Saccharomyces cerevisiae S288C: one gene and its partners. The protein of the gene in region 3 purifies or fractionates together with the protein of the main gene of each other region. This does not show direct contact. Each region holds a gene or a part of one and is shown on either strand. Other genes may lie near its edges.

Region 1 (4,749 bases), on a different chromosome or scaffold from region 3:
GTCTTGGAAGATAGCGCAACGGGAAATCTTGACACAGTAAGAAACATTTACAGTATAATAATACTAAAAATAAAATTAAGATACATCAATATAAAATTTTCGACAAATACAGAAAAGAACAGAGAAGAAAAAATGAAGGTGACGCAAAAAAGGAATTGACAGGCCGTAATGAGTAGTGATGGAAAGAAGGTAAATGGAAGTAATAAAGGAAAATCATAAACATGCTTAAAAGCGTACAATCTTGAATTGAATTAAGAATAACAATAACCTTGAAAGAAATGAAAATCAAAAGGAAAAACGCAACTATAACGATACAAAAAAGACTTAATAAAAGGACATGGAATCTTGAAAACGATAAAAAGCAATGAAAAAAAGAAAATAAAGCGCTGTTATATCACCGTCAGCCTAAGACCAAATACAATTTAACACTGAAGTAAAGAAAATACCAAGAAAGAAAAAGGGCCAAAAGGAAAACAAACATTTTTATATACACGTGTGGCTCAAGCAAACATAAAACCATTACTGCCTTGTTCCAAACGGTTTAACATTGCATTAGTGCTGTTAACAACCGCTTCGCTTCCTTGCATGATAACTTGTTGGCCACCCGTGCCTGAGAGGTCCATAGAGCTAGTGTCAGCCAGTAAACTAGTAGCTTGCGTATTTGTAGCATTATTATTACTGTAGAAACTGAAATTGTTCGAGCCTAATCCATTCGCATTAGCGTATGGATTAGAATAATTCAGAATTTGACATCCAGGAAGCATCGTGGATGAAACATTATTATCTGGCAGAACAGGTGCTTCACACGTACTGGATGGAATGTATCCGTAGTTAGGTTGCTGTAAACCTGGTTGCTGTTGTTGAACCTGTAAAGAGTTACTTAACATGGCTTGCTGAAGCAACGCTGTTTGCTTAGCAGACCTGCCCCAAGACAGTCTAACTCTTGAATTTGCAATGGGGAACCCTTGCATCCCAGCAATGGCAGCCTCAGCCGATAGCCGATCAACATACTGGACAAACCCGCAACATTTGCCTACCGGAATTTTGACATAGACTATCGTGCCAAAAGGTTGGAAATAAGCACGTAATTCGTCTTCAGTCACCAGTGATGACAATCCTCCGATAAACACAGTGGTGTTATTCGGATCAGTGAAGTGGTTTAAAGACGGCTGCTGTTGGACTGGATAAATGAATTGAGACATATGGTTTCTCTTAAAGCCCATGTTATTATTTCCATTGCTTAAAAATGATTGACCCTTGGAAAGAAATCTCGAGTCTACATTTTCGTTGTTTAGTGACGAAGAACTACGGTTGTAATCGTTGTTACCGCTGACATGCTGCTGCTGACCAGATGTGGGTCCTACTTTTATGGCTCTACCATTTAAAAATACGCCTTGCATTTCTGACAGAGCTAACTGTTGTTCATCAGAATTGGTAAACTTTACAAAACCGTAGCCCTTAGACATCCCGGTAACCTGGTCGTGCACAATTTTGGCATGAGAAGTAGAAGCATATCTGTTAATGAAAAGTTCAAATAATTGAGACTCTGTAACATTTGGTGCTAAGTCTCCAACAAATATAGAACAGTTGTTACCACTCTTCACGTTGTTAAGAGAATTGTTGCTGTTTGAATATGAGGATGTAGCCCAGTTTAATTTCAATTTTTTATTTGGAAAATTGGGTATAAGCATACCATTCTTTAAAAGTGCATTTGCTGCATGAGTAGATGAGGGAAAATCAACAAAGCAATATCCTTGATTATTCTTTGGACCCATTGATGATCTCGACCCATTATTAAGCGTATTATTCCACATCATCCGGACATTAATATTCGCTTCTCCCAGAGATGCCCAAATTTGCCTAACGGTATTCTTATCCCATGTAGGATCCAAGTCGCCCATGTACAATTGGTTACCAGTGGTCCCTAAACTCACGTTAGATGCGCCTTGAAGACTCAATACGCTTGTACTGCTATTGTTGGTTTCTGAGGAAATAGTATTAGTGTACGGAGATGAGTCGTTTCTTACCAGATTACCCCTGCTAGGATAATATGTTGTTTGTTTATAGGACATTTGTACCCGCAATGTATTAGGAACTTTTGACGGGATATAGACACGAACTTAATCGACTAAGCTGATAAAATGAAGGGAAAGTAACCTAAGGGCAAAGAATATGGTTCGGTGTTTGACTACCCGAATAAGGTCACGTCGATTTAAATGTTGTCACTAAAGGAAAGCTCTGATATAAGGATGTACGCACACACAATTTCACCACCAACTCGAATCTGAATAATCCCTGAAAAGCCCTTCCCTTTGTGCCAATAGTATTTGAAAAATAAACAAACTTAGATCTACTTAAAAAAAATCCAAGATTCTGCATTTTTCGCCCTGCCTCTCCTGAGGGTAACAAAAAAAAAAGTACAATCTATCAATTATATATTGTATTCTTATGAAACGTCAATCAAAGATTTTTGCAAGCAGCGTTTTAAGCTTGTTTGCACTTTTACCACATTCACCACCTTCCTTGATAATTACTTCGATTTTCTTACGTACTATAGGCAGGAATTGTTCGATAAATACCGCTTTTCGAGTATCGATATCCTGTGTTGCCAATGACAGTAGTGTGGCATTTACTCCACTGGAGGTAGCATCCTGAACTTTCAATTCTCTGGTAAATAGTTTCAAGTGCTCAAACGGCTGCGGATAATCTGGGATTAAATATGGGTTTCGTAGCGTACCGCTGTCCTCTGTAGTCTCTGCCGTGTCTCCGTCGCTTCTAGCGCGTTCATCCTGACATCCGTATTCAACAAGAGTGTACAGAGCATTGAGATGAATAGTGACATATTTGGCGTTTCGCTTCTTCGTTTGCACTATGCTAGCGCTATCATTTTTCCCTACCTGTCCCCAACCGAGCACTCCAAAGACACCGTTCAAAAGTTTTACCCAAGATTTCCTAACCACTTCATCTCCGCAATACTTCAACAGATGAGAGAGAAATTTAGTAGAATCTGCTTGAATTTGTGTAACAATATGTGTCATTGCCATGTTAATGTATAAGACAAAAATGTTGCAGTGCAATTTTAAAATCTCCGCATCGTGACTACCTATTTCATCTACGAGATCAATAAGTCCCTGACGTACTTGCTGCGATTCATCGCAAATCAACGGTATACTTTGAGTAAGTAATGGTGTCATAAGTCGAGATTTTATTATAGACGGTATTGACTTTTGGAATGTTGTTAATGTTTCCTTTCTCACATTGATGTTATGATGCTTTAAGAGCGTTAGCCGTTTTGTTAAATCATGTGGATTTTGGTCTAAATGTTGATTTCTAATAGAAATAGTCTTGGAAACGAAAGATGTATCGGTAGCATTCCTTGCTTTTTCCTTTGGCTTACCAACTTTTAACTTTTTTCTCAAAAAATCCTGCTTTTTTTGCTTCTGCTTTCTTGATTTTGTCATTTATTAACTTTGTTTATCTCTGCACCTTTTTCTTTTTTGATTACAACTTTTAACTATTATGAACATCGATGCCTTCACCTTATAATTAGGAATCTCGCTTTTTCTGGTGGAAAAATTTTCCGATGGCCTTTGCCATTCTGAAAAATAAAAGGCAATACTACGTTGGTATCAAAATAGTGGATAAACACATATTGTAATACTAAGCGATCATGTAGTTTTGGAGGTCATGTTAAGAAACTCATTGATATTTATATTACATACTGTGACGCTAGATAAATCACATATATAAAGGTATTATATTATATTATCTTTTTCTTTTTTTTTTTTTGTTATTTTCTAACGTTAATAGATTTGTTACATTTATTACCTTTTTTTCTTGCTTTTTGTTTGCTCTAGTCTTGTATAAGATTGTTTTATTTATAAAAACAGATTGTCCTTGTTGTTTTCTTCTGAGTATTGTTTAATATTAAATTCTGGCCCGCATTTTTAATTCTTGTATCATAAATTCAAAAATTATATTATATCAGGTTGCATCTGGAAGGTTTTTATCGGACCTTCGATTGGTATCTACCTCAAGTGAATGAGCTCCACCTTCTTCTGACTGGACCACCAAAGTATTGGAATCCGGAGTAGGCATCGAAATTTCTTTGTTCTTATCAGGATGAGCAGAATCTTCGTCACCAGCACTTGGCCTGGCTTTCGTTTCCAAGTTGATTTTGTATTGCTTCTGATAAGCACTTGTCTTAATATGTAGAGGCTTTGAAATTTTTGCAGACTTGCCCACAGATTGTTTATTACCTGTTGGAACATTTCCTTGTGAAGACTTCATTCCCACAGTTCTTCGCCGTGGGTATTGATTTATATTTTGAGAATAAAATGTGCTAGGAGGATAGTTTTTAGCAGTTGTAGATGGTGCTCTCGAACTATAAGGTGAAACAGCAGTGTTCCACTGCATGGAATTTGAACTTTGCATGTATGGGAACATCGCGGAACCTGGTGTCGATCTATAATTCGGTGTGTATGGTCTCCCAACATAGGTTGGAGCTGGTTGCATAGCTTGAGGGGGCAAAACATTCCATGAAGTTGCAGTTTGTGGATACAGCATATTGTTATCACATCCTTCTGGTGGAAAGAAAAAATCGTCCGCGCCATAAAAGGCTTGATCGAGTAGAGGATCCCCCCCCATGGGATTATACGGCATTTTTGGGTAGTATCCTGGAACCATTCCGTTTGGGTAAGATTGCTGGAAGTTGTTAGAATATAATTGGTGTTGTTTAGTTTGCTGGCC
Region 2 (4,693 bases), on a different chromosome or scaffold from region 3:
TTTCCTTTTGTAATGGTGCCTGGATAGAATGGCTCCTGCTATGAGCATTCCTATTTGGACTTCTTGGCGGTATATCAGGGGCAGAAGTTTCAGCCGTCGAAGTTCGTGCGATATTTGTTGATTTCTTTATTGTAGAGGGCACCGATGGCTTTCTAACGGATTTTTCAGAGTCATTGTTTTTACTTTCAGAACCAAACCGAAAAAAAGACCTTCGTTTACCTTTATTGTTGCTAAAGCCATCAAACATCACTGTATTATTAGACTTTACCTGTAGACTCCTTCAAAACCTGTAATTCGCTTTGCAGAACATGCTATTTCAACATTTTCCCTCTTAAACTTTTGCCAAATAATAATAGTGCGCTCTTTGAATCCGCGATGACATTTGAAAGAAAACATTAAATTAAACTATCGCTTTGCATACGGAGCAAATGCCATGAAAGAGAAAAAATAACCAAAAGGTTTTTTAAATATATCTATACACCTCCACTGTTATATGCGACTCAATGTTCTAATATATTCAATATCAGCTCTAATGCTTTGACTATATATTCACCGACTCCACCAATACTAATAACGCGGATGGTACTTGGGTGAGGCGCCTGAGCAAAAATAGTGTAATTTGTTGTATTTAAAGATTCAAGCCACATTTGTGACTCGTGAAGATTATTCAGATTCAATACGACGATATTACAATTTGTCTTTGATCGTAGATCATTTAGATTTTGATAAACAATATCAATATAATTTTGTCTTGGACACCTAACGTATGTCTTTAGAATCTGATACGAAGACTTCTTTTTCACTGCATCCATAGAAGCTTTTATGGTACCAATGCAATGTTGTTTGATTTCATCCTGCGTCATAAAACCCGGTTTATTACCTTCACTATACCTTCCGTCCTCAAAAGTTTTTGGCCCGGAATGACGATTGGAAGAATTCAATACATTTGATGGCTTATTAACAGCGTGTCTCTGTGGTTGTGTTTGATATGAAGTTGCACCTGCTTCAATAGTTTGAGAAGAGGAAATTGAATTTGAAGAGGGCGAATTCGATAAAGGTCTTTGTTGTCGTGGAAATTGATCTCCTTGAAGGCCACTTATTTCGTTATATGCCTTCATTTCAGAAATATGTTTAATCATTTGAGCTTTTGATGTTTCTATAATTGGCCTGGTTTTACTAATGTACGACTTTATATCAAACAAGCCATCGCCAATTAATGGAAGTTCGTAGAGGGCAAGTGATATCTGTGAATAAGTGCGGTTATATTCACGCTTAAAGTAGTTTATCACGTTAGCTTCACACTTGCCAAATTCTACTTGTGAAAAAAAATTAGAAAGCTCATTCATGAACTTACTTACATGACAAGCCTTAACTTGAAACTGTTGAAAATCTGGAACAACATTGAAACCAACTTCTACAATACTGGATGAGGGCTGCTCTCTTCTATAGCTTGTTATTATATGGCCTCTACCAGTTTCTATATTCTTGGGCAAATAAAACGAACCTGTCAAGTTAATATTCTTAGGAACTCTAAAGTATGATTTTTCGGATGGTGCCATCCATAATCGCTTCTGGAAAGCAAGCAGAACTGATAATACGAAGCAAGAGTCCAATATATTGAAGTCCTTCAAAACTATGTAGAAAAGCATGCCTTCATCTTTCTGCTCTTTCTGTGGATAACATCGTAATATATCCTTCGATATATACTTATGCAATTCATCCATGCACTCGTCGAACTGTTGTTTATCTTCCGTTCTCATGGGGAGTATGAGCAGACTACCTTTTATGAATTGCCCTGCATTCTTCTTAGTCGACCTTATCCTATCTAGGTTTTTCCATATATCAAAAGATTGGAATGCTTCAGAATTACCGACCTTCCTTCTTTGGCCATCATTGGATGTCGTAGGATAATGTCCTTGTGAAAGTTGTCCCTTCGGCTTGGTATGATGATACGCTAATCCTCTCCTTCTTGGGCGCATGATACTAATATTTTTTGCTTATATTAGTCGAAGGGAAACTGTTTCTCAACGTCAAACTTCTACTATAGTATATAATATAACTTTAATGTTTTCTACACTGCGATGCGCGCTGAAAATTCTAGCTCAAATAAAAAAAAGGTTACAACAAACCAGTAGCAATCATGAGAATAAGAAATATGAAGAAGTAATTAAAGATCATGTTGGAGTAAAAATCCAAAATATCATCTGTTTATTAGCATTCGTGTTAGTAGTATATTATCAAATGCGGTGTAAGAAGATGACATAAAGATTGAAAGACAGTCATCAAATGGAAGAGGAAATGCAACAACTCATGATGTAATAGGATAATGTCACATAAAAAATGGAAGATGAGATTATAATATTATTACGTAAGAATACCGATCCTCTTTTGCGGGTTCTTATATCTCGGGGAGAGCTTCTAGTACATTATTCATTCATAATATTATACCTTTACCAAGGATTGAATCCCAACAATCATCAAATTATTCACCCCTTTCTCAGGTCACTGGTTTGAAGCAAGTAAACTACATCTTCTTATACCGTATGCGATAATATACTAATAATATAAATACTACTAAATAGATGATGCTAGAATTCCATTAGAACTATAGTATACCATTTAAGTATTTATATTGCTATTGTAATATCTTATGAAAAGTTAATGTTCATCTGTCCCAACAATCTCTAACAAGTACAAAGATGACACGAGTTATGAGGCGCTGTCATAGGAACCTCCAAACAAGTTTGATATTAATTATAAGAAACATATTTCAAGCCCTCGTGTTGTATTACGGGCTCGAGTAATACCGGAGTGTTTTGACAATCCTAATATAAACAGTCTTAGGGAAGTAACCAGTTGTCAAAACAGTTTATCAGATTAATTCACGGAATGTTACTTATCTTATATATTATATAAAATATGAATCATACTAAGTGGTGGAAGCGCGGAATCTCGGATCTAAACTAATTGTTCAGGCATTTATACTTTTGGGTAGTTCAGCTAGGGAAGGACGGGTTTTGTCTCATGTTGTTCGTTTTGTTATAAGGTTGTTTCATATGTGTTTTATGAACGTTTAGGATGACGTATTGTCATACTGACGTATCTCATTTTGAGATACAACACCTCGCAAGAAATCGACTCTCGGTAGCCAAGTTGGTTTAAGGCGCAAGACTGTAATTTATCACTACGAAATCTTGAGATCGGGCGTTCGACTCGCCCCCGGGAGATTTTTTTATGTCAAGCACCTACTTTTAGCCGGCTTTCTGGAGATAAGTTCCCAGTAGTCGTTGTATTTGATTCTCTATTGGATAGTCAATGACACATTCGTGACCGAACAATGAGATATTATTGAGTACCGGGAGTATTATGTGTCATAATTTGTAGTATTATCTGTGTGACGGATTAAGTTTGCTATCTCAAATGCCGCGCGCGCGAATTGCTCATGATATAATAATAGCTAATAATATGATAATATGATAATAATAGATAAGATTACTGATAACATTATTTTAGTATTCAAAAGCGTATTACATATATATAGTCGAGTAAATACTTTTTTTTCAATGGGGAGTGGAAGGGACAGCCGCTCTGACCTGTTATTAACGACAGACAACACGGTACCAAAGTTATACAATGACTGTGCACTCAACGTGGAAGGAAAAAGTTCAATTAAAAAAAGATCAACTGAACAGTAAGATAAAAGACGAATGGAAATTAAACAGCACAACTATAACGAGGTTGAAGAACGATAAAAAAAATTTAATCAAGAATATCGATGATTTATGCTCATCTTCAGAAAATCAGATCACCCACTCCACGATTATGGCCTTGAGACAGGCACTGGAAGCAAAAGAGTTAAGCTGCCATGAAATAACAGCTGCATTTTGTCATAGGGCTGCTTTAATTCATCAAGTAGTGAATTGTCTATCCGAAATCATGTTTTCAGAGGCATTGAGATTGGCTGACTATTACGACAGCAATAGACCAGCCATATTGCCACCCTTGTACGGTATACCGATATCTCTCAAAGACCAATGTAACGTTGAGGGTGTAGACACCTCACTGGGTTATTTATGTCGAACTTTCAAACCAAAAACCAAGAATGAAGAATCATTGATTGTCAGTTTTCTGAGAGATTTAGGAGCTATTATATTTGTAAAAACCACCGTACCTTCATCGATGATGGCTACAGATACACAATCTAACACCTTTGGGTACACATATAATAGTATTAATTTAAGCTTCTCCAGTGGTGGATCTTCTGGTGGAGAGGGTTCGTTAATTGGTGCTCATGGTTCCTTGCTGGGACTAGGAACTGATATAGGCGGAAGCATCAGAATTCCTAGTAGTTACCAAGGATTATTTGGTTTGAAACCAACTTTTGGACGCGTCCCTTACTTGAGGGTGGATAATTCATTTGAGGGAAGGGAAACAATTCCCAGTGTAATTGGGCCGTTGGCAAGAGATCTTTCGGATTTGAGATACTTCATGAGTTGCGTTATCAACATCTGTCAACCATGGGTACAAGACGTCAAGTGTATTCCATACCATTTTGATTCCTCTACAAGTAAATTACACGATAATTATGTTGTTGGAATATGGTATGGTGACGGCGTTATTGATCCTCCGCCCAGTGACATCAGGGCTTTAAAGACGTGCGAAGACCTAGTTAATAAAACTAAAGGAATGAAGG
Region 3 (4,919 bases):
CCATTGAAGAGGGTGCAGGAGCTTTTCTACTTTCCTAAATTTTAGTTACTTTTTCTATTTAAGTTTTATATGACTTCAAAATTATTTCTTAAGATACAAAAAATGGATGGAATCAGACTAAATTTCTTCGGATTATCCGTACTTTTCTCATTTTTTTGTTTCAACTGGCGATTCCATATTTGTTTATCCATTGCATACAACGAAGGCTTACGGTTATACAGTCTAAAGCTAAAAAAGATAGTAATATGTCGACAGCACAGAAAGCTAAGATATTGCAACTCATCGATTCCTGCTGCCAAAATGCAAAAAGCACACAACTGAAATCTTTATCATTTGTTATTGGAGCAGTAAATGGCACGACGAAAGAAGCTAAAAGAACCTACATTCAAGAACAGTGTGAATTTTTGGAGAAGTTACGACAACAAAAGATAAGAGAGGGAAGAATTAACATATTGTCTATGGATGCTGGTGTTTCTAACTTTGCTTTCTCTAAGATGCAATTGCTCAATAATGATCCGCTCCCTAAAGTACTAGACTGGCAAAAGATAAATCTAGAGGAGAAATTTTTTCAAAACCTCAAAAAGTTAAGCTTGAATCCTGCTGAAACTTCTGAGCTTGTATTTAACCTTACGGAGTATTTATTTGAATCTATGCCGATACCAGATATGTTTACAATTGAAAGGCAACGTACCAGAACTATGTCTTCGAGGCATATTTTAGACCCAATTTTAAAAGTGAATATTCTCGAACAGATTCTTTTCTCTAACTTGGAAAATAAAATGAAGTATACGAATAAAATACCGAATACGTCCAAGTTGAGGTATATGGTATGTTCGTCCGATCCACATCGGATGACTTCATATTGGTGCATTCCAAGAGAAGAGACACCGACCAGTTCAAAAAAGTTAAAATCTAACAAACATAGCAAAGATTCTCGAATAAAGCTAGTGAAAAAAATACTTTCAACCTCAATACTAGAAGGTAATTCAACTAGTTCTACAAAACTGGTCGAGTTCATAGGAGTTTGGAATAATAGGATAAGAAATGCCCTTACCAAAAAAAAAAGTTTCAAGCTATGTGATATACTAGAGATCCAAGATAATTCGGGGGTGAGAAAAGATGACGATTTGGCAGATTCATTCCTCCATTGTTTGTCTTGGATGGAGTGGTTAAAAAATTATGAAAGTATTACTGAACTCTTGAATTCAAAAACACTGGTTAAAACACAGTTCGGACAGGTGTTTGAATTTTGTGAAAATAAGGTACAAAAGCTGAAATTTTTGCAGAACACTTACAACAATGACTAAGAAATTGTGCGGTGATCGCAAACTTGAAATAACATGTAATCTCTATGTATAATTTATATAATGATTAACAAGATAGAGGTCGACACGTCAGAATCAATAGTCCAATTCCACAGCCGGAGTTAAATGCCTCTTTTTTGACGCGGTCAACGTTAAGTTTGCAGTAGCGCTTTCGGCAGTCGGTGCAGAGCTTTCAGGCTTAAAATCCTCGAAAATTTGTCTTCTTATGTTATCTTCATCGCCTAGTGCCTTGTATTCAAGAGATTCGCCAAGCTCTTTGGAAGCTAAATCCCACGTACTAGGCTTGGGCTTACCGGTTTTTGTATATGTCCTTTGCAAAAGTAACCAAAAATAGTGCTTCTTTTGCTCCAATATCCTACGCTCATTTTGGAGTTTCTGTTGTATCTTTTCGTTTCTTTGCTTTATCAAACCATCAACAATCAAACTGATGTCTTCTTTATCCACCTTGTCAAATTTCCGGTCATTTTCCAGAACTTTTTCTATGTTTTGCTTGGTGATCTCGTCGCTATCGGCATCATTCCATTCAAAATTTTGATCTATCAACGTCTGTTGGGCTATTGATCTTTGTGCAAAGATGTACATCCTTTGTTCATCAACAAAATCTAAAAATAAATCAAGGCAGGACGAGCCATTCCTTCCAAGCATATGTAAAAAGCGCGGATCAGACTTTATATGAGGATAAATATCTGACCATCTAGTATTTGCTTTGATTTTGATTGGCACTTCTCTTAATAAGCTTTTAAAGTTATCTCTAGCAATACGGTCTCTGGTATAATTGCGCAGTCGGAGCTCATTTAGTTTGTTTTGAAGATCGTTTTCAATCGTATTTACTATTTTCAGATACTCGTTTAAAACATCTTCGTGGGTTAAGACTTTGAAGTGCCGGTTCGCCATATATCTCTTACTCTTATCAAAAACATAGTGATTTAAAAGCTGCTGCCAGGTTATGAAAGTTTCAGAGGATGATGTTGTTATAATACCGTTTAAATACTCTCTTAGTTCTTTTAGGGCCTGTGTTTTCAATTTTTTTTTTGATTCTTTCTGAGTGTCGATGAGGGTATCTATATAATCTTGAAAGGTCTGTCTCTTTGTCTTTTCATTGACCACGGAGTGTTTGTATATTGGTTCGTCGGCAATTAGTCTCTTTGCGGTAGGCCAACGGGTGTAATATTTTATATGAGAATTGTTTTGCAACATTTTCTGAAAGGCTTCTTTGAATTTGCTTGTTTCATTGTGTTCCTTAAGAAGTTGATCGGCTGATCTATTGGAAAGATATTTCTCAAACATTTCTTTCTTCCATAAGGGGTCATCATCGACCATCCAATACCTTGGATCTCTGGTCCCCAGTTCTGAAATAATTCTACTGAATGACCAAGTAGAGTCTACTTGATTTTCCTTCAGCATGGTAATAAATTCCTTCTCTGCTTCTTCTTTAGTCCTTCTCCTGACATTAAGCAGTTTAGAGTTATTAGCATATTGGCTTTCCTCCTCGTTTATAGTTCGTCCCGGCTCTTGTTTTTCTCCAGCCGTAAGGGCTATTCTATTTCCATTAACCTGTGCATGGGATACTGTATCATGTTTTTGTTCTGCGATGGGTTCTACTTTCTTCTCGAAGGCCGGAATAGTCCAGCTGGTTTCTCTTGTTGTTGGATTATAATAGTATACTTTGCCGTCTGCCGTCTTGGCCGCCTTCCAGCCATTTTCTCGAAGAAGTAGCTCCTCCTGAGAAATTAGTTCCTTGGGCTTCTCCCACGTAGATTTCTTTGTCAAAGTATTGTAATAATATATCCTTCCACTTGCATCTTTAGCTTCCTTCCAAATAGACATAGTTTCACGTCTCCCACCTCCGGCAATGCTTGTCTAGTGGTCGATCTGGCTTCAGACCTTGTTATCCTGATAGGTAGGCACGCTATTGCGATGTCATCAACTGCCAGATTTCCAAGTACATTATTATTGTCGATAATTTCATATCGTTTACCACGTCGCCCCTTTTGTATAGCAAAATACAATTATAGAACAAAAAAAGCCTGTAAAGCCAAGCAAATAGAGGCTTTCGGAACAACTCGGTGTCACTTTGACAAAAGATAAAAGAGGAAGCAACTGATAGTAGGAAATGTCACAATCATTACGTCCGTATCTAACGGCTGTTCGTTATTCCCTGGAAGCTGCGTTGACTTTGAGCAATTTCTCTTCGCAGGAAGTGGAGAGGCACAACAGACCGGAAGTTGAAGTCCCTAACACTAGCGCCGAATTGTTGCTCCAACCGATGCATATATCTCGTAATGAAAATGAACAAGTATTGATTGAGCCCAGTGTAAACTCGGTGCGTATGAGTTTAATGGTGAAACAGGCAGATGAAATTGAGCAGATTTTAGTTCACAAGTTTACTAGATTTTTGGAACAGCGTGCTGAAGCATTCTACATTCTGAGACGTGTACCAATACCTGGCTACAGTATTTCTTTTCTAATAACTAATAAGCATACTGAATCAATGAAAACTGGGAAATTGGTTGATTTTATTATTGAATTCATGGAGGACGTGGATAAGGAAATCAGTGAAATTAAACTGTTTTTGAATGCCAGAGCAAGATTTGTTGCGGAAGCATATCTTGATGAATTTGTCTATTAGATTCCTAATATAGGAAAGGGAATCTTTCTCCGTCAGGGCCCTATTGACGGAAAACTTTACGATCTGTACTGACTGTGTTAGTTTGCGTACTCAATTGAACTATTTCGAGACTATTTAGTTAGATACAATAACATGTGTATGTGAATTAATTATAAACGTACTTTTAAATTGCAGTTACTTTGTATAATTATGGTGATTTTTTTAGTACTTAAATTATATTCATAAAAAGGGATTAAAATGTTTCTCCCGACACCTAAAATTAAACTTCAATCTGTCAATTCTAACACAAAACGTTTTCATTTTACGTAAACAAATGAAGATTGAAGATTCTAAAGCATTTATTATTACTGCCGCACTAGTATACGACCAAACTAAAATTATATGATAATAGTGCACCAACATATAGTAAACAGCTTTTACCTATGCACGACTTGCATGAGGATTTCAATATTATATCACTGTAGACGAAATATGAAAAATTTCAGCAATAAAGCTCATCGCAAAGAATAGTTCGGTTATATTCTTGATTGGATATTATTTCTCTAATCTATGCGGTACTACTTCATCTAACAGAACTAGAGGAGCACTTACATAATGAGTAATCATAGCGAAGCCTATGGATCTCGCGACCAGAGAAGGGAGAAGTACACCCAAGGGAAAGAGTTCGAAGACGGTACATTAGAAACACTAGAAAGTATAATCAGTGCAGTCGAAGATGAAACTCTCTCCAAAGATTACCAACCTCTAATAGTGTTCTTCCAAAGAGGATTTGGTGCTCAATTGGTACAGACTTGGTCATATTATGCTCAAGTAAATAACCATGGGAAATTCTCGAAAACTACCTCATTACTGACTAAAACCTTACGAGTTTTGTCATCTGATACTAGTACAGTGACTATTGGGAGCGGTCTAATTAGATTGATATTGACCGATTACACAAAAGTTCTCTATAGAGGGTTGAACAA

Evidence for each region. Proteins that work in one complex are often made in the same cells at the same time.
Region 1: the proteins of PRP40 (region 3) and NAM8 purify together in Saccharomyces cerevisiae (affinity purification with mass spectrometry; 6 studies listed by BioGRID). This does not show direct contact.
Region 2: the proteins of PRP40 (region 3) and SNU56 purify together in Saccharomyces cerevisiae (affinity purification with mass spectrometry; 5 studies listed by BioGRID). This does not show direct contact.

The regions. Positions count from the first base shown.
Region 1 is NC_001140.6:275,476-280,224, reverse strand, and holds NAM8 (Nam8p), read right to left. Parts: upstream 2,073-4,749; coding exon 501-2,072; downstream 1-500. Other genes in the region: IPI1 (Ipi1p), read right to left, coding at 2,457-3,461; homeodomain family transcription factor STE12, read right to left, coding at 3,985-4,749. UniProt on the Saccharomyces cerevisiae protein: Component of the U1 small nuclear ribonucleoprotein complex (U1 snRNP) involved in the initiation of meiotic recombination. Involved in the formation of DSBs at recombination hot-spots through meiosis-specific splicing of REC107 pre-mRNA.
Region 2 is NC_001136.10:943,174-947,866, forward strand, and holds SNU56 (Snu56p), read right to left. Parts: upstream 1,980-4,693; coding exon 501-1,979; downstream 1-500. Other genes in the region: YDR239C (uncharacterized protein), read right to left, coding at 1-247; AMD2 (putative amidase), read left to right, coding at 3,634-4,693. UniProt on the Saccharomyces cerevisiae protein: Component of the U1 snRNP particle, which recognizes and binds the 5'-splice site of pre-mRNA. Together with other non-snRNP factors, U1 snRNP forms the spliceosomal commitment complex, that targets pre-mRNA to the splicing pathway.
Region 3 is NC_001143.9:416,543-421,461, reverse strand, and holds PRP40 (snoRNA-splicing protein PRP40), read right to left. Parts: upstream 3,153-4,919; coding exon 1,401-3,152; downstream 1-1,400. Other genes in the region: putative ubiquitin-protein ligase UFD4, read left to right, coding at 1-38; CCE1 (cruciform cutting endonuclease), read left to right, coding at 246-1,307; ARC19 (Arc19p), read left to right, coding at 3,439-3,954; URB1 (Urb1p), read left to right, coding at 4,549-4,919. UniProt on the Saccharomyces cerevisiae protein: Required for pre-spliceosome formation, which is the first step of pre-mRNA splicing. This protein is associated with snRNP U1. Two commitment complexes, CC1 and CC2, have been defined in yeast. CC1 is a basal complex dependent only on the 5' splice site.